Linked DNA regions of Macaca fascicularis. The protein of the gene in region 1 interacts with the protein of each later gene in a biochemical or structural test. Links are inferred from orthologs where the notes say so. Each region holds a gene or a part of one and is shown in the gene's direction. Other genes may lie near its edges.

The links.
Region 2: the proteins of NUB1 (region 1) and PSMD4 form a complex in vitro, tested with the Homo sapiens proteins (2 studies listed by BioGRID). The link is inferred for Macaca fascicularis from reciprocal best matches to the Homo sapiens genes NUB1 and PSMD4.
Region 3: the proteins of NUB1 (region 1) and UBD form a complex in vitro, tested with the Homo sapiens proteins (6 studies listed by BioGRID, with this or other methods). The link is inferred for Macaca fascicularis from reciprocal best matches to the Homo sapiens genes NUB1 and UBD.

Annotation. Positions count from the first base shown.
Region 1 is NC_088377.1:192,622,171-192,628,001, forward strand, and holds the start of NUB1 (NEDD8 ultimate buster 1), read left to right. Parts: upstream 1-2,075; 5' UTR 2,076-2,333; intron 2,334-2,982; 5' UTR 2,983-3,034; intron 3,035-5,300; 5' UTR 5,301-5,302; coding exon 5,303-5,419; intron 5,420-5,831. UniProt on the Homo sapiens protein: Specific down-regulator of the NEDD8 conjugation system. Recruits NEDD8, UBD, and their conjugates to the proteasome for degradation. Isoform 1 promotes the degradation of NEDD8 more efficiently than isoform 2.
Region 2 is NC_088375.1:109,959,183-109,965,052, reverse strand, and holds the start of PSMD4 (26S proteasome non-ATPase regulatory subunit 4), read left to right. Parts: upstream 1-2,546; 5' UTR 2,547-2,584; coding exon 2,585-2,610; intron 2,611-5,870. UniProt on the Homo sapiens protein: Component of the 26S proteasome, a multiprotein complex involved in the ATP-dependent degradation of ubiquitinated proteins.
Region 3 is NC_088378.1:143,644,974-143,651,081, forward strand, and holds UBD (ubiquitin D), read left to right. Parts: upstream 1-2,017; 5' UTR 2,018-2,048; coding exon 2,049-2,075; intron 2,076-4,612; coding exon 4,613-5,083; 3' UTR 5,084-5,314; downstream 5,315-6,108. UniProt on the Homo sapiens protein: Ubiquitin-like protein modifier which can be covalently attached to target proteins and subsequently leads to their degradation by the 26S proteasome, in a NUB1-dependent manner.

The DNA of each region.
Region 1 (5,831 bases):
CAGTTTCTTGCCCCATACAAGCCTTGAATGTAGCAATTGTCCTTGGAATTTCCCCCTATGTCTCTGCAAAAGCTGTGTTGTTTTTCTGTCCCCAGCAGTGGCCTTCTGTGGTCTCAAAGTCTAAATTCTCAGCCTCATCCTTGTATCCAGAATTGGCAAAATCCGTCACACATCAATACAAGCCACTGTGGACATTAGCTCACTTGAAGGTTCCTCATTCTCTGGAATATCAAGTCCGCCCATTCTTACCTCAGCAGCTTCCACTGCCTTCAAACAGATGTTTTCTGACTTTGCTTTCTGGCTTTTCTAGTTGTTAGCTGGAGTCTTGGTCTACCGCAAGCTTCTCTACCACACCTGACCGTGGACATTCAATTTCCTGATGGTCTACTATGTAACTGTAAAAGTGAAACTATCTTTGTTACTCATTTCAGAGAAAGCCCTCAGAAAAAAATGTCAGAACAGATTCTGTTGTCCTTCTACCTTGCTGCAATTGCTACTGAGCAATCAACGGGCTTGCTTCCTGATGTGCCAGAAGCCAACACCATGGCACTGGTTTTTGAGAAAAGAAAGGCTTTGTCGTGAGTTGACTGTCAAGGAGACATGAGGAAACCCTCAACTCTGTCTCCTTGAGCTGGGTTTTATAAGCATACGGTAATGACACATGATCTGATTAGATTTTGCGATGAGGTGATGCTGGGATGCTCATCTGACTGGACCCTGCCATGGGGTGATGCCAGGGCTTGATCTGATTGCATTCTGGATCTCACCATGCAGTGCCCATCTCTTAATTCAGTCCCTGCTTTGATTTGAGCACTCAGGTTCCGCCCCGGTTGCATGCTCGGCTCATCTGGGCATCCTCAGCTTACGTGTGAAACCTTCCTTCTGGGAGTCCATGCAACTGAAAAACAACTCACAACTTGGGTATATAAAAGGTGAATCAGATTGGTCTGATGCGGTTATACAGTTATTTAATACCTCTTTGTCAGAAGTCAAAATTTCCACAGATTTAGATTAAAGATCTATTGGCTTTTATTGATTCACGAATCAGGATGGCATCTTCTCTAAAAATTTAGAAACGGTACTCCAATGAGCTGGGCAGAGGAGGTGGGTTTTATAGGTAGAAAAGGCCTAAAGAAAGCAGAAACAGGGAACGAAAAGCGGATTGGTCACTGCAAGGTTACAGCAGTCCCCTCTTACCCACACACAGGTGGTATGTCCCAAGACCCACAGTAGATGCCTGAAACCTCGGATAGTACTGCACCCATGTATAGATATATACACACACACACTATATATATACACACATATACATATACACACACACAAATATATATATACACACACACACTGCATTTTTCCTATACATGCATACATACCTGCGATAAAGTTTAATTTGTTAGGCACAGTAAGAGATTAACAGCAATAACTGATAATAAAATAGAAGCGTCACTGTTGAGCACAGCCTTGGGAATGGGGCCTTGAAAGCAGGCAGAGCTCCCTAGGTTTTGTAGTCCCTAGTGGCCGTGGACAGCATGGGGGAGGAAATTCCCGGGAAGCAGCCTAATTTCACCCCAGGGAAGCCCCTCGTGGGATTGTGGAGGGCGGGGTGAAAAGCCGCTGGTTTAGGGAGGGGGTCCAGCCTAGGCTGAGGGATGAGATGTGGGTTGGGACGGTCCCGACCCTTCCCCCAGCCTCTTTCAAGGATTTTGGAGAAACAAAGCCAGGATCCATTTCCTCTTGATGGCTGGCAAACTGGGCCCGGGCGGGAGGTCCTGGAAGCCTGAGCCTGGGGCGGCGTCGGACACCAACTCCCAGGTCCTCGCCCCACACGGCCACATTCTCGCCCAGCCCCGCCTCCATTTAGCTCCCCCGTCGCGGCTCCGCCCCGCGGTAACCACGCCCACACGACCGTATCCCCGCCCACGACTGGCTTCGCCTTGGCCCCGCCCACAACCCTCCTTCCAAGCGGCGGCTACGGCGGCGGCGGCGGCGGCGGCGGCGGCAGCAGCGGTGGCGGGGGCGGGGCTGGCCTCACCCGGAATGAAAACAAACGGCGGCCGCCGGCGCATCCGGGCACTCTGTTGGTCGCAGCGGGCGCGGCGTGGCGCAGGTGAGGACCCGGCGGCCGAGTGTCCCCGACCCCAGTCTCAGCAGCGCTGCTCGGCGCCCCGGTTCCCGGTCCGACTGGGCACCTCTCCTGACGGGGGTGGAGCGGCCGCGGGGCTGGGGTCAGCGGCCATGCGTGAAGCTGGGCCGGGGCCGGGAGCGGCGGGTCGGGCTTCGGGACGCGCTGGCCCTTCGGGGCCCTTTGGTTTGCGCTGAGTTAGGCACAGGTGTGGGGTATTTAAAAGAAAATGTTGAGTGTATTGATTTGGGGAGAGAAAGGAATAAATATATCTATAAAAAATTAGCCAAATGCTATACTTGAATCGTAACACTTACTCCGAGTATACCATTTGGGATTTATTTGCAATCAAAGCCAGATTTTCTTTGCTATTTAATGACGAGACACTTGATTTTCTCGAACCTTGACGACCTGATTCTATTACTCTCACCTCCTTCCCTTTTATTTTTAATCAAGAATCTTTCATTTTCCTACATATTTTCGTAAGAAAAAATGAATGTGTCTTGACTAGATATAGTTGTGCTTCAACTGTATATAATGTATAGTTGAAAAACTGTGGCTAAAGGTAGCATTGATTGATTCATTACAAAAGTGAAAGTGAAATTTTTAAAGGATCGTTATAACGTTTCACTTTCTGTTTGGAGCAGGGAGTGGTTTTAATGAGTTTCGTCTTTTCTTGGTTACAATGTGAAACATTGTATGGCATGCATGAAACTTTTTCAGTTCTCATTTCAGTTAAAATTAAAAGCTGACTTATTAAACTTAAAATATGTCACCACTTACTCTGTTGTCTGTAACTGAAGTTTCCTAAGTTTCAAGATAGTGGTTTAATTTTTTTTAACATTAAATCCTATTAGGTGTAGACCCTGGACCTGTTGTTTGCTCCCTGGAGTGTCTGACACGCACTAGGTTTGTAATACTCCTTTGTCCTTCTGTCAAGTGGTGGCTTGGATGGCATCTTTTTAAAAATTTTTATTTGTTTATTTTTTTAGTAGAGACGGGGTTTCACCATGTTGAGCAGGCTGGTCTTGAACTCCTGACCTCAGGTGATCCGCTGGCCTCGGCCTCCCAAGTGCTGGGATTACAGGCGTGAGCCACTGCACCTGGCCGTGGATGGCGTCTTTGAGTACCGCATCAGCCTTTCAAATTGCTTGGCTCCAGTAACCAACCTGTGAAATTACTGTCCCCCAGTGGGGAAACAGTAGGGTTGCTGTGATATTTTATTCAGAATTTCTGAAGATTCATGAGTAGTATGTAAAGTAGTCTTTTAAGTTATTGGTGTTTGAAAAGCTAACGCTTTAAGTACTAATATGCTTTGCTGTGATAAGCTGTTTGTCAGTGCTTGAAAATGGAGGATTCTCCCATGGGCCACCCAGGTTGCACACATCAACTTCCTTGGCTGTGTTATTCCTTCCTCTCTTTTCTCCTCTCTGTCCTGATTAACATAATTCTTGTCCCCTGCACTGACATCAAATAGATTTGAACTTTCTTTAAACAAATATTTGTTTATGAAATACACAAGCTACCAAACTTGATTTCAAAGTTGCGTGAATTGGGTTTGGGGGGATGTGGAATACTGGCCCTCAATAGAAAAAAAGAAATTTATCTCAATAATATTAACTCATATTTTTTCCACTCTCTAGAATTGTCTTCATCATTCAGGGACTAATAACATTTTCTTTACTTATTGCTTGTGTGATTTGGTAAACCTTAAAGCGCTGTGCTACCCCTGCCAGCTGCCTCACATCTCAGCTGCCTCACATGCATCTTTGAAGTGCTGTGCTAGTGTGGGATAAGTAGACAGCTCCATCGTGGCATGTACTTCTCTGGGAGAGAAAAGTTACATACCTGAAACAGGCAAGCAGCAAGGGACTCCACGACAGAAGTTCAGAGTCCAGTATTGTGGGTGGAAGTTACGCTCAATTTGATGCTGCCTGATTTTGTGTCTTTGCCTGAGTCATGGCACAAACTCAGGGCCCTGGTTTTCTCAGCTGTAAAATGATCCAATCAGTGTTAGATTTGAATAGTAGATGTGCTGTTAGGCTGTTAATCAGAAAATATGCAACATTTTTCTAGTATTGTAATCTTTTTAATTTAAAAAATTCTGACATAGAAAATATTTATATATTTATTATTATTTTGAGACGGAGTCTCACTCTGTTGCCCAGGCTGGAGTGCAGTGGTGCCATCTCGGCTCACTACAACCTCTGCCTCCTGGATTCAAGCGATTCTCCTGCCTCAGCCTCCTGAGTAGCTGGGTTTACAGGTGCCTGCCACCACGCCCGGCTAATTGTTCATTTTTTGTTTGTTTGTTTGTTTGTTTTAGTAGAGATGGGATTTCACCATGTTGGCCAGGCTGATCTCGAGCTCCTGATCTCAACTCCTGAACTCAGCCTCCCAAAGTGCTGGGATTACAGGTCTGAGCTACCACGCCCACCTGAAAATATTTATTATTGATAGTTTACAGTTCAAGCAAGCTTTTCTTTATATTTAACTACCAGGATGATTGGCCTTTTGTTTTATGTGAAACTAGCCAAAGTATGAGAGAATTTACAAGCTCACACCTGTAATCCCAGCATTTTGAGAGACCAAGGTGGTGGATCACTTGAGGTCAGGAATTTGAGACCAGCCTGGCCAACATGGCGAAATCCCATCTCTACTAAAAATATGAAAATTAGCTGGGTAGGCGTGGTAGTGCACACCTGTAATCCCAGTGACTAGGGAGGCTGATGCAGGAGAATGGCTTGAACCCAGGGGACAGAGGTTGCAGTGAGCCGACATCACACCACTGCACTCGAGTCTGGGCAACAGAGCGAGACTCTGTCTCAAAAAAAAAGAAAAAAGTTCACCACTCGAGGGATTTATCTTTCTTGTATTTTCTCTTTTCTCTTAGATAAGAGAATAGCGGATTAAGAAATAGCAAACGTGTAATAATCCTTGCTACATATTGGTGACTTTGAAATACATGTTTTATGTATGTAATATATATAATTGAACATATATTTCCATGTATATTTTTAGAGAAGTCTGGAGCTTGTTTAAACCATAGTAATTTATATTTAATGAGAGAAGAAGGGAGCTTTGCTTACCCAACAAAACACCTTAACATGTAGGTAAGTTACTAACACTTTAAAATGCAGTGTGGAGTTTTATTATTATATTGTTTTGCTTTCAGGGATGGCACAAAAGAAATACCTTCAAGCAAAATTGACCCAGTTTTTAAGGGAAGACAGGATTCAGCTTTGGAAACCTCCATATACAGATGAAAATAAAAAAGTTGGTTTGGCATTAAAGGTATTTTTCTTTTAAGACATCAATAATTGGCAGCATTATAAATCTCCTTGGTAAATAAGATTCTGAATTGTCAGGCATGACCATATAAACTTTTGGCATAACCAAAAGCATTAGTGGTGAGCAGGTACCCACTTTTTACTAGGAATTGACAACCTTATTTTTGTTTACTAATATTTTATTCACATAAGGATGTTATCTAATTTTTCAGGCATATATTTTTAATACCATCACAGAATTACATAACATTATTATCTGGAACTCATTTTGACCCATTAGTGCAACAGTATTGGTGCCAGTAAGTTATTGCATTGTGTATTCAGAGTGACAGTGTCTTGGCTCATTCTCGGTCCTCCTTGCTATCATCTGCTATAAAACAATTGCTCCTTTCCACCAGTTTTCTTGATGCTCTCAC
Region 2 (5,870 bases), on another chromosome or scaffold:
CTCGATCTCCTGAATTCGTGATCCATCTGCTTCGGCCTCCCAAAGTGCTGGGATTGCCCAGCCTTGGTTTTCTTTATTTTAGAGTCTTGTTCTATCACCCAGAGCAATCCCAGCTCACTGCAGCCTTTACCTTCTGGGCTCAGGCAACTGTCCTACCTTAACCTTTCAAGTAGCTGAGACTACAGGCCTGCACCATCACAACCAGCTAATTTTTGTATTTTTTTGTTGCAACGGGGGTATCCAGGCTGGTCTCGAACTCCCTACCTCAAGTGATCTGCCCACCTCGGCCTCTCAAAGTGCTGGTATTACAGGTGTGAGCCACCATGCCCAGCTGGCCTTTATTTTTCATTATGGAAATTTCCAAACCAAAAGTAGAGTAGTATGGTAAACCACTGTGTACACATAACCCAGCTTCAATAATTATCAACATAAAAGGCCAGTGTGGCCGGGTGCAGTGGCTCAAGCTTGTAATCCCAGCTTTCGGAGGCTGAGATGGGAGGCCCAGAGTTTGAGGTTGCAATGAGCTATATATGATTGCACCACTGCTGCACTCCAGCCCAGTGAGACCTTGTCTCTTTTGTTTTATTTAACACCCTGTCTCAAAAAACAAAACAATTTGTTTCTTCCAAAGGATTAAATCCCAAACTTCATATACTTTTTTTGTCTATGAATATAACATATAACCCTTAATAAAGATTCCTTTTATAATGGTGACAACTTTAACACTATTATCATGCCTAAAAAAATTATTTAATATCAAATATCCAGCTGATGTGATGGCTCACACCTGTAATCCCAACACTTTGAGACTTTTTTTTTTTCAGAGATGGGGTCTCACTATATTGCCTATGCTGGTCTCGAACTCCTGCACTCAATTCATCCTCTCACATCAAAAAATTAAAAACAAATGAGCCGGGCTTGGTGGCATGCACCTATAGCCCCAGCTACTCAGGAGGCTGAGGCAGGAGGATTGCTTGAACCCTGGAGGTGGAGATTGCAGTGAGCCGAGATCAGGCCACTGCACTCCAGTCTGGGCGAAAGGGCAACACCCTGTCTCAAACAATAAAATTTTGTAGAGACGGAGTCTGGCTGTGTTATCCAGGCTGTTCTCAAACTCCTAGCCTGAGTTGATCCTCCTGCCTGGGCCTCCCAAAACGCTGGGATTATAAAACCTAAGCCATTGCATCAGGCCTTAAATGTAATTTTTGATTAACAAACCAAAATGGTTTAGTGGTTTGTTCTTTGGGAGATTAGTTAATATAATTGAGTTGTCAAATCTTTTCTGGGCTCTCTACTGGGCTTAGGGAATTGTAAAGATTAAGACACATTGCTGGCCAGGTGTGGTGGCTCACGCCTGTAATCCCAGCACTTTGGGAAGCTGAGGCGGGTGGATCAACTGACGTCAAGAGATCGAAACCAGCCTGGCCAACATGGTGAAACCCTGTCTCTACTAAAAATACAAAATTAGCCGGTCATGGTGTCACGCCCCTGTAGTCCCAGCTACCTGGGAGGCTGAGGCGGGAGAATTGCTGGAACCCAGGAGGCAGAGGTTGCAGTGAGCCTAGATCGAGACACTGCACTCTAGCCTGGGTGACAGAGTGAGACTCCTTCATCTCAAAAAAAAAAAAAAGACACGTTGCCTACCCTTAGTTAAATGGGGGAGGAGATAAATATACAAATAAATTCAATTCAAAGGTATAAGGGCTTGTTGAATTAAAATTCTACAGGGAACTGAAGGCTGTAGAAAGTCATTAGTGATCTCTACTTTTTTTTTTTTTTTTTGAGACGGAGTCTCACTCTGTCCCCCAGGTTGGAATGCAGTGGCGTGATCTGTGCTCACTGCAATCTCTGCCTCCCGGGTTCAAGCGATTCTCCTTCCTCAGCCTCCAGAGTAGCTGGGATTACAGGCGCCCGCCACTATGCCTGGCTAGTTTTTTTTTTTTTTTTTTTTTTTTAAGATGGGGTCTCACTCTGTTGCCCACGCTTGAGTGCAGTGGTGCAATCTCGGCTCATTGCAATCTCCGTCTCCCGGGTTCAAGTAATTCTCCTGCCTCAGCCTCCCGAGTAGCTGGGATTACAGGCGTGCGCCACCATGCCCGGCTAATTTTTTGTATTTTTAGTAGATACAGGGTTTCACCATGCTGGTCAGGCTGGTCTCGAACTCCTGACTTCGTGATCCGCCGGCCTTGGCCTCCCAAAGTGCTAGAATAACAGGCGTGAGCCACCGCGCTCGGCCGATCCCGACACTTTTTTTTAAAATGACGAAGCTGGAACCGACACAGCACTTTCAAAGGTTCCTCCATAGCTCCTCTGAGATCCGGCCAGCGGGAAACCCCAACTGGGAACTGCAATGGCAGGGAAAGTAGAGGCTAGATCCTGTTGTGTTACCGCGATTCCCTTCAACTACCCACAAGAAGCCCATTTGTTTGGCGGCGCCTACAACTCCCAGAACGCAACACGGGGGACGGAGGCGGAAGCTGCTGGCCAAGCCGAGGTCTGTGATTGGTGAAGAGCGATGGGCCAATTGGAGGAGTTGTTGTTAGGCCGTCCTGGAGAACCGGTCGGGAGGGAGGAAGGCGGCAAGATGGTGTTGGAAAGCACTATGGTGTGGTGAGGAGCTACCTCGGGGCAGGAGGGGCACAGCTGGGTCCCGGGCGCGTGTGGCGCCAAGGCAGGGCGGGCCTGGGGTGGGGGCCGGGAGCTCATGGGCGAGAGGCGGCCCTGGGCCCGGAGGTTAGGAGCCCGCTGGAGTCCCTGAGTCATCCCGGGGCCGTGGAGTGGCAGACAGTCCCTGGTTACCCCTCTCACCCCCAGGGGGACGGTCATTGACCGGTCATTCCTGCTGCCTTTCTCTGTTCTAGCGCCGTCTTCTCTAGAGCAGCCCGGGTCTGTCCTTAGCCACAGTTCTGCTTCTCGGACTCATCGTAATAGTTTTCTGCCCTCCTTTCTTCGCAAAATAATGTCTATTAGAAAAATAGATTATTAATCCCTTCCTCTCCCCATTCCCTCGTCTCTAACTTCATTACCTTTCCCTGTGTCATCTTCAAAGGTACCATTTACAGATTGCTTTTTATGTCTCAGTCATTTTGTTTATCTCACTTAAACCTCACAACCACACCTTAAGGTAGATTATCTCTCCGTTTTACGGTTCAGGATACCGAGTCTCAGCGATTTTGAGTGATTTGTCCAAAATCACACAGCTAGTTAAGTGGTGGAGTCAAGATTTAAACCCAGGGCTGTCTGACACAAAGGCTTTATCCGGTGAGGTAGCTGTCTTCGCCAGTCTCAGGCTTGGGCTGAGTACCTATTAGGAGTCACATTAGATGGGGAGGACATAAATTTTTGCAGGATTGCAAGAGTTCCTTCTACCTGTAATCATTGAATGTAATACAGAATAGTTGACGAACACAAATCACCAATTGGGTGAGACAGACACCTATGAGATTTCGTCTTTTTAGTTTTTTGGGGGAGCATAGCGTTGCCAGGTAACATACAGGATGCCCAGTGAAATTTGAATTTCAGATAAACGATGAATAATTTTTTTTTGAGAGGGTCTCGCTCTGTCGCCCGAACTGGAGTGCAGTGGCCCAATCCGGCTCACTGCAGCCTCCGCCTCTTGGGTTCAAGTGATTCTCAATGATTGAACTAATTTACACTTGCACCAACGGTATACCAGTGTTCTCTTTTCTCGCAACCTTGCCAGCTTCTTTTTTGACTTTTTAGGATAGCCATTCTGACTGGTGTTAGGTGGTATCTCATTGTGGTTTTGATTTATTTGCATTTCTCTAATGATCAGTGATACTGAGGTCTTTTTCATATGCTTGTTGGCCGTATAGTATGTCTTCTTTTGAAAAGTGGCCAGGCGCGGTGGCTCAGTTCTGTAATCCCAGCACTTTGGAAGGCCGAAGTGGGTGTATCACCTGAGGTCAGGAGTTCCTGACTAGCCTGGCCAACATGGTGAAACACTGTTTCTACTAAAAATACAAAATTTAGCCAGGCGCGGTGGTGGGCGCCTGCAGTCCCAGCTACTTCGGAGGCTGAGGTGGGAGAATCGTTTGAACCCCAGAGGTGGAGGTTGCAGTGAGCCGAGATGGTGCCACTGCACTCCAGCCTGGGCGACTGAGTGAGACTCCCTCTCAAATAAATACATAAATAAATAAAAATAAAGTATCTGATATCTGTTCATGTCCTTTGCCCACTTTTTTTTTTCTTTTTGAGATGGAGTTTTGCCCTTCTTGCCCAGATTGAGTGCAGTGGTGCCATCTCAGCTCACTGCAACCTCCGCCTCCTGGGTTCAAGTGATTCTCCTGCCTCAGCCTCCTGAGTAACTGGAATTACAGGTGTCCACCACCATGCCCAGCTAATTTTTTGTATTTTTAGTAGAGACGGGATTTCATCATGTTGGCCAGGCTGGTTTCAAACTCTTGAGCTCAGATGATCCACCCGACTCAGCCTCCCAAACTTCAGGGAATACAGGTGTTGAGCCACCACGCCTGGCTCCTTTGCCCACTTTTTTTTGTTGTTGTTGTTCTTACTGCCCAGGCTGGAGTACAATGGCACAATCTTGGCTCACTGCAACCTTCAGCTCACCGCAACCTCCACCTCCCGGGTTCAAGCGATTCTCCTGCCTTAGCCTCCCGAGTAGCTGGGATTACAGGCATGTGCCACCATACCTAGCTAATTTTGTGTTTTTAGTAGAGACAGGGTTTCTCCATGTTGGTCAGGCTGGTCTCAAACTCCTGACCTCAGGTGATCCACCCGCCTCAGCCTCCCAAAGTGCTAGGATTACAGGTGTGAGCTACTGTGCCCAGCCCATCTTCCAGGATTTTTATAGTTTTGAGTTTTACAGTAAGTCTTTAATCCGTCTTCAGTTAATTTTTGTGTATGGTTTAAGAAAGGGGTCCATCTTCAATCTTCTGCATATGGCTAGCCAGTTATGCCAGCACCAGTTATTGAATAGGGACTCTTTCTCCTCACTGCTTTTGTCAGTTTTGTCCAAGAGCAGATGGTCATAGGTGTGCAGCCTTATTTCTAGACTCTCTATTCTGTCCCATTGGTTTCTGTGCCTGTTTTTGTACCAATACCGTGTGGTTTTGGTTATTGTAGTCCTGTAGTAGTAGTTTGAAGTTGGGTAAAGTTGCCTCCAGCTTTGTTCTTTTAGCTTAGGATTGCCTTGACTTTTCCGGCTCTTTGTTGGTTCCATATGAATTTTCAAATAGTTTTTTCCTAGTTCTTTGAAGAATGTCCTTGGTAGTTTGATAGGAGTAGCAGTGAATCTGTAAATTGCTTTGGGCAGTATGGCTTGTCTGTTTGTTTGTTTGTTTGTTTATTTATTTATAAGACAGAGTCTTGCTCTGTCGCCCAGGCTGGAGTGCAGTGGTGTGATCTCAGCTCACTGCAACCTCCGCCTCCCAGGTTCAACTGATTATTGTGCCTCAGCCTTCCAAGTAGCTAGGATTCCAGGCACCTGCCATTATACCTGGCTTATTTTTTGTATTTTTAGCAAAGATGGGGTTTGGCCATGTTGGCCGGGCTGGTCTTGAGCTCCTGGCCTCAAGTGATCTGCCCACCTCGGCCTCCCAAAGTGCTTGAATTACAGGTGTGAGCCACCATGCCTGGCAGTATGGCCATTTTAATGATACTGATTCTTCCTATTCATGAGCGTGGGATGTTTTTCCACTTGTTTGTATCTTCTTTATTTGAGCAGTATTTTGTAATTCTCATTGTAGAGATCTTTCATCTCCCTGGTTAGTTGTATTCCTAGGTTTGTTTTTTTTGTTTGTTTGTTTTGTTTGTTTTTCTGAGATGGAGTCTCGCTCTTGTTGCCCAGGCTGGAGTGCAATGGTGCCATCTCGGCTCACTGCAACCTC
Region 3 (6,108 bases), on another chromosome or scaffold:
CCTTTCTCTTTTTCCAGGTACTTCCCCCACCCCTGCCATCCCGCAGGGCTTTCTGTTTCCTGATCACCCTGAACCTGATCTGACATTGGCCACTGGTAATGTTTCAGAATCTCCAAATCCCACTGGACAACGGATGAGGGGCAGCCCTTATCTGCTGTGTAGCAGCCAAAGGTCAGAACATTAGTTTCTAGACACAAAGGGGGTCACAGGGACCTGGAGAAAGATCTGAAAGGAGAATAGCAGAGGCCAGTGGTTCCTAATGTATTCCATTAGGCACTCTTCTGCTTTTTAATTATCCTGCCTGTGTATTAAAAATTATGTCTACTCCACAAAATACATTTAAATAATAATTAATGTTTTCAATTTTATTAGCTATCTAATAAAAGCTTCATATAGAAGAACATGATTTATAGTAAGCTTTTGAAGTAGAGAAATGAGCTGTTGCATTTCATTACTCTACATCAATCCAGTACTTCTGTAAATTCGATTCTCCAGGACAGAACCTCCTAGAATAAGATGGGGTCATTTGCGATCTGTCAGTGAGTGAAGGTACAGTAAATGCCTCTGCAAACAGAGATGATAACTTGGCATTTTAAAGAGCTTCCTACTTTGAAAAGATTTGAAGCACTTGAAAACATACTTTTAGGCTGGACACGGTGTCTCACATCTGTAATCCCAGCACTTTGGGAGGCCAAGGCGGGCAGGTTGCCTGAGATCAGGAGTTCGAGACCAGCTTGGACAGCATGGTGAAACCATGTCTCTACTAAAAATACAAAAATTAGCAGGTGCCTATTATCCCAGCTACTCGGGAAGCTGAGGCAGGAGAATCACTTGAAGTCTGGAGGCGGAGCTTGCAGTGAGCTGAGATCGCACCATTGCACTCCAGCCTGGGCAACAAAGTGAGACTCCATTTCAAAAAAAAAAAAAGCTTTTAAAAACTGGTTCCATAGCAATGCCCTGAGAGTTTGGGAGGGGGCAGTAGTTAATTTGGGATACGAGGAGGATCAGAGTGATGGAGTAAACTTCCCGGGGACAGGCACACCTTTCTTGTCTCCATCTAAGTCTCAAGGGCGAGGGAGAGAGCGGCACCTTTAGGTTTGTCTGAGATCACAGTGGTGAGGTGCATCCAGGAGTAAAGGTAGAGAAATAGAGGCCCCGCAGTGTGAGAGTGGATGTTGATTGCTTTGTGTGTTGAAGTGAGGAGTCAGCATTTAATTGTTGGCTTAGGATTGTTCTCAAGTAGTGGATTTGGTTTGCAGGTTCTGGGACAGGGTAGGACGTATGTTGGAGAGCTCAAGACCCAGAAATCCAATGTTATTTTGCAAAGGGAATTTTACAAGCAAAGTTTTCTGAGCCTGGAAGACACTTAGGAATCTTTTCCAGTCATCTCATTTTATAGACTGGGAAACCAACATCTAAGGAGATGAATGGATTTGCCCAAGGTAATGTAGCAAGTGGCCCTCCTGGGACTCTAACTCGTATCTCCTCTCAGTCTGAGGTTATTTCTCCTATGTCTTCTTAAGGCATGTTTTACACCTTCTGCCAGACTAGCCATGTCAGGCTCACAGTCACAGCACTCCACACAATGCTGACTGCCGTATCCTGCCTGGGTGCTCTCGTTCTTAGGACGGCCCCTGAGTAATGGGGTGCTCTTAAAGGCAGCATGAGAGGTTCAGCAAGCATTACAGGTCTTCATGCCAGTGAGGGCCCAGGCCACAGGACGGACAGTAATAAGTCAGGACTGGGAGAGGAGAGGTGGATTTTTAATCAGGGAAAAGTTTTCAACACAGAAAGACCATCCCGTTTGGAATGAGGATTGCAAATAGATTGCCTGAGGGGAGAAGTACGTAATCAGAAAGCATTCTTTGTTTATTAACTCCTGCCCAGCAAAAGTGAAAGAAAATTCATGGGAGCATGCAAGAACAAAGGGCACAGCAAAGCTGGACAAACACAGCAATCCAGGAGGGGATTTCCAATTCAACGCTGGTATATAAGCTGGAGTTAAAATCCTTTTTCTGTCTCTGGTTTCTGGCCCCTTGACTGCAAAGATGGCTCCCAATGCTTCCTGCCTCTCTGTAAGTTGGGATTTGATAAAGGGGATGGGGAAAGGAAAAGCACTTTCAAGAGTTGGGGAGAGATCTTAGAAACGGGGGATGGACAGTACTCAGGGCTCTGGGTGGCTGGGCAGGCATCCTTAAGGGGAAGAGGCTGGCATCGACATTTGCAGAATGGGAAGAGGAATTGTCTGAAGAGAAGCTGGTTATCTGGCTTCTGTGTTCTTTTTTTAATCAAACATTGGACTAGCTACTCTTAGGGATAAATGGTAGAAAAAAAAAGTGGGGGTGAGCTTTGTGTTCCACAGGGCTGGTGAGATTTGAAATTATGGAAACATTTTTTAGGGTTCTTAAACTTAATCTTCTCTTTCCTCTCAAAGGAGAGCTTCACAAAACTCATTTATCTGAAGTTGTTAATGATCTAACACATTACATTATATAAGAAAGTATGCACTATGGAGAGAACCTGGAATTAAGGCAATGCTTAACACAGATCCTCCAGTGAAGAAATGTCTGCAATATCTAGATTGGGAAAATATTTCTGAATGGAGTATGAGGGAGGTCTTCTCAGGCTTTCAAGTGGCCATTAGGAGTGAGTTTTCCAGTCTTTTAGGGTTTTCCAGCTATTGAAGTAAGACTTAGACATAGTCCCTACCTTCTGTGAGTGAGGCCCTGGTCTAATCAAAGGAGATCGTATTCTATATTAGATAGATATAAAAATACAAGAAATATAAATTAACAAGAAACACTGAACATAGTGTCACTGTAATATGTAAGTTATTATTGTAAAGCAGTGGGAGATTTGAAAAAAAAATAACAGTTCAGTGATTATGTGCCCTACCCAGGATTTCCTTCTGAAGTATTGACAGAGGGTATCCTATTGCTGTATCTTATGAGGCTGTCATATTTTAGAAATTCTCTTTGACAGTTGTTTTTAGAGTCTGGTGTACATCTTTTGAAGCTCTGTATTTACTTTTTTGACATTTGACAAACTTTATCTGGATAGGAGAGGCAGGTAAATAAGGTGGAAAACCTTTAATTACATCTCGAGATGAATAAAGGTATGTTTTTTACATCTATTGAAATGCACAGAAAAGCGAAATAAAAAATTGTCAACTAAAAAAAATCACACAATTTATAAATTTAGAAAGGAGACTTCATTTCTTATGAAGGGTTATAGTCTGCAAGGTAGCCATTCTGACAAGCTGAGAAGCTCGGCTTCTGGTTGAAAACCAAAAGCAAGCTTTGTAGGAGGAAAGTGACACAGGAATTTATGCTGAAGGGGTTTGCTAAGTATACATATCCAATAGGTTATGGCAGAGGCAATGAATATTCATGAAGGGAGTCCTAATGCATGCATGTTGAATGAGCTTGCATGTTATATACCACCCATGGTCACTCTGAGGTGGAGACTTAACATTTAATTGCATTACAGTTAGGCCTTATACATGAAAAGGTGAAGCAGGGACACAAAGGCATTCAAATGTGCAGCTTCTGTAGACTAGCCAGAACCAGTCCATGGTCAGTGGTCTCTTATCAGGAGAAAATTACTGAAATCAGTCATTTGTCCAATTAAAACTGTAGTTATGGCTTGAGGAACAGGGGGTCAGTTAGCCTGTGGATGAACTGTAATTGTTTTAATATTGTTCCTCTCGAGGCCAGTGCTTGTTTAGCTGCTACAGAAAAAAGAAAAATATTTTGTGGCAGTTAGAACATAGTTTATTCTTTAAGTGTAGGGATGCATGACTTAACTCTTGCCTATTATAGCCTTAGGTCTTGTTTAAAATTTGCTACAAAAATCTTATTGCCACCAATAATCCATTCTTTCAGTCTTATAATCTCTAACGTTGCTAGTCAGTTGTGTCTAAACTGCAAAAGGGAGAAGATATAATGAGGCATGTCCAGCCTCCTGTTTCATCATGACTGAGGTATTTTATTTATTTATCTTTTTGAGACAGAGTCTCACTCTGTTGCCCCAGCTGGAGTGCAGTGGTGCCATCTCCACTTACTGCAACCTCTGCCGTCTGGGTTCAAATGATTCTCATGCCTCAGCCTCCTGAGTAGCTGGGATTACAGGGACTCACCACCACGCCTGGTTAATTTTTGTATTTTTAGTAGAGATGAGGTTTCACCAAGTTGGCCAGGCTGGTCTCGAACTCCCAGCCTCAAGTGATCAGCTTGCCTCAGCTTCCCAAAGTTCTTGGATTACAGGTATAAGCCACTGCCCTTGGCCCAATGACTAAGTTCTTAAAATTTCTCTAGGGTCCCCCTGAGCAAGAGAGGGTCCGTTCAATTGGTTGGGGGCTCAGGATTTTATTTTTCATTCTCAAGATTGAAAAAAAGGTGTGATTATAAAGGAATGGGACAAATTTTCTTATTTGTGTTGCAACTTGGTAATTCCAAAGGAGAAGTTCCAAGAAAGAGAGGGACACTGGCTACTGAACAGGAGCTAGGAGACCAGATAGATAGCGGAAGGGTGGGAGCCATTGTGGTGGGGAGCAGAAATGTAAAGTGAGGCAGGCATCCTAGGCAACTGTCTTGTGGCTTTCACTTCCCAGGTGCATGTTCTTTCTGAGGAATGGGATTTAATGACCTTTGATGCCAACCCAGAGGACAGCGTGAAAAAAATCAGTGAACACGTCCGGTCTAAGACCAAGGTTCCTGTGCAGGACCAGGTTCTTTTGCTGGGCTCCAAGATCCTAAAGCCACGGAGAAGGCTCTCATCTTATGGCATTGACAAGGAGAAGACCATCCACCTTACCCTGAAAGTGGTGAAGCCCAGTGATGAGGAGCTGCCCTTGTATCTTGTGGAGTCAGGTGATGAGGGGCAGAGGCACCTCCTCCAGGTGCGAAGGTCCAGCTCAGTGGCACAAGTGAAAGCAATGATCGAGACCAAGACGGGTGTAACCCCTGAGACCCAGATTGTGAATTGCAATGGAAAGAGACTGGAAGATGGGAAGATGATGGCAGATTATGGAATCAGAAAGGGCAACTTACTCTTCCTGACATCTTATTGTATTGCAGGGTGACCACCCTGGGGATGGGGTGTTGGCAAGGGCCAAAAAGCTTATTTCTTTTAATCTCTTAATCAACGTGAGAATGAGATGAGTAGAGTAAGATTTGGGTGGGATGGGTAGGATGAAGAATATTGTCCAACTCTGTTTCTTTGATTCTAACACAATTAATTAAGTGGCAGGATTTTTAATAATGTATTACTGAGACTAGTAAATAAAATTTTAAGGCAAAATAGAGCATTCAAAGCCAGCTTGCAATTTAATTCTTTCTTGATACCTTGTTATTTATGGAAAAACTCCTATCTCCTTTCCTTTTTGACAAGAGAGTTTTAGGTTGGGATCCATGTTCTACTGATTTCTGAATTTCTGTGTTTGTTAAGCCCAGTGCTTTATTTATATCACTCAATAATGGTTGAATCAAAATGAATTTCTACTTACAGAGCATAGTGAAATGATTTATTTTAAAATGAATTAGTTGCTCTGACATGATCATAATCAAATTACTAAACATTTTAGAAACTAAATTGAGCTCCTTTCCCCCTCTTCTCCTTTAAGGCTATTTGGTATGAAATGAAGTCTGGCACCATGCCCCCTCCCACTCTCTATGTCCCACACCCAACTAAAATAGTTATTATTTATGGGGATGTTGGTGGGCAAGGAAAGGTATTTTCCACAGGGATCTAGTGATTGTGTGTAACTAGTGGGGGTTCCTAGGGGTAGATGGACACCGGGAGAGAACAAACTTTCTGAAGCTGGGGGACTGTGGACCACCCTCTCTCCTACCTGCCATAGGGTCTAGCAGGTCTTCTGTATGATAAGGGTGCCGGTCTGGGCGAGGGTGGGTGAGGAGCTGGCTTCTGGATTGACCTCAATATTCTGCTCAGGTTCTGCTGATTGAGCATTTTTCTCTCTGCTTTTTTTCATGAGTAGATCCCTGTTCCTGTCTTGAGAACTTCCTCCATCTTCCTCCCTCCATTTACTCCTCTTTCTGACTCTCTTGCTCTCTCTCTCTCTCTCATGTCTCACTATTGATCACCTGT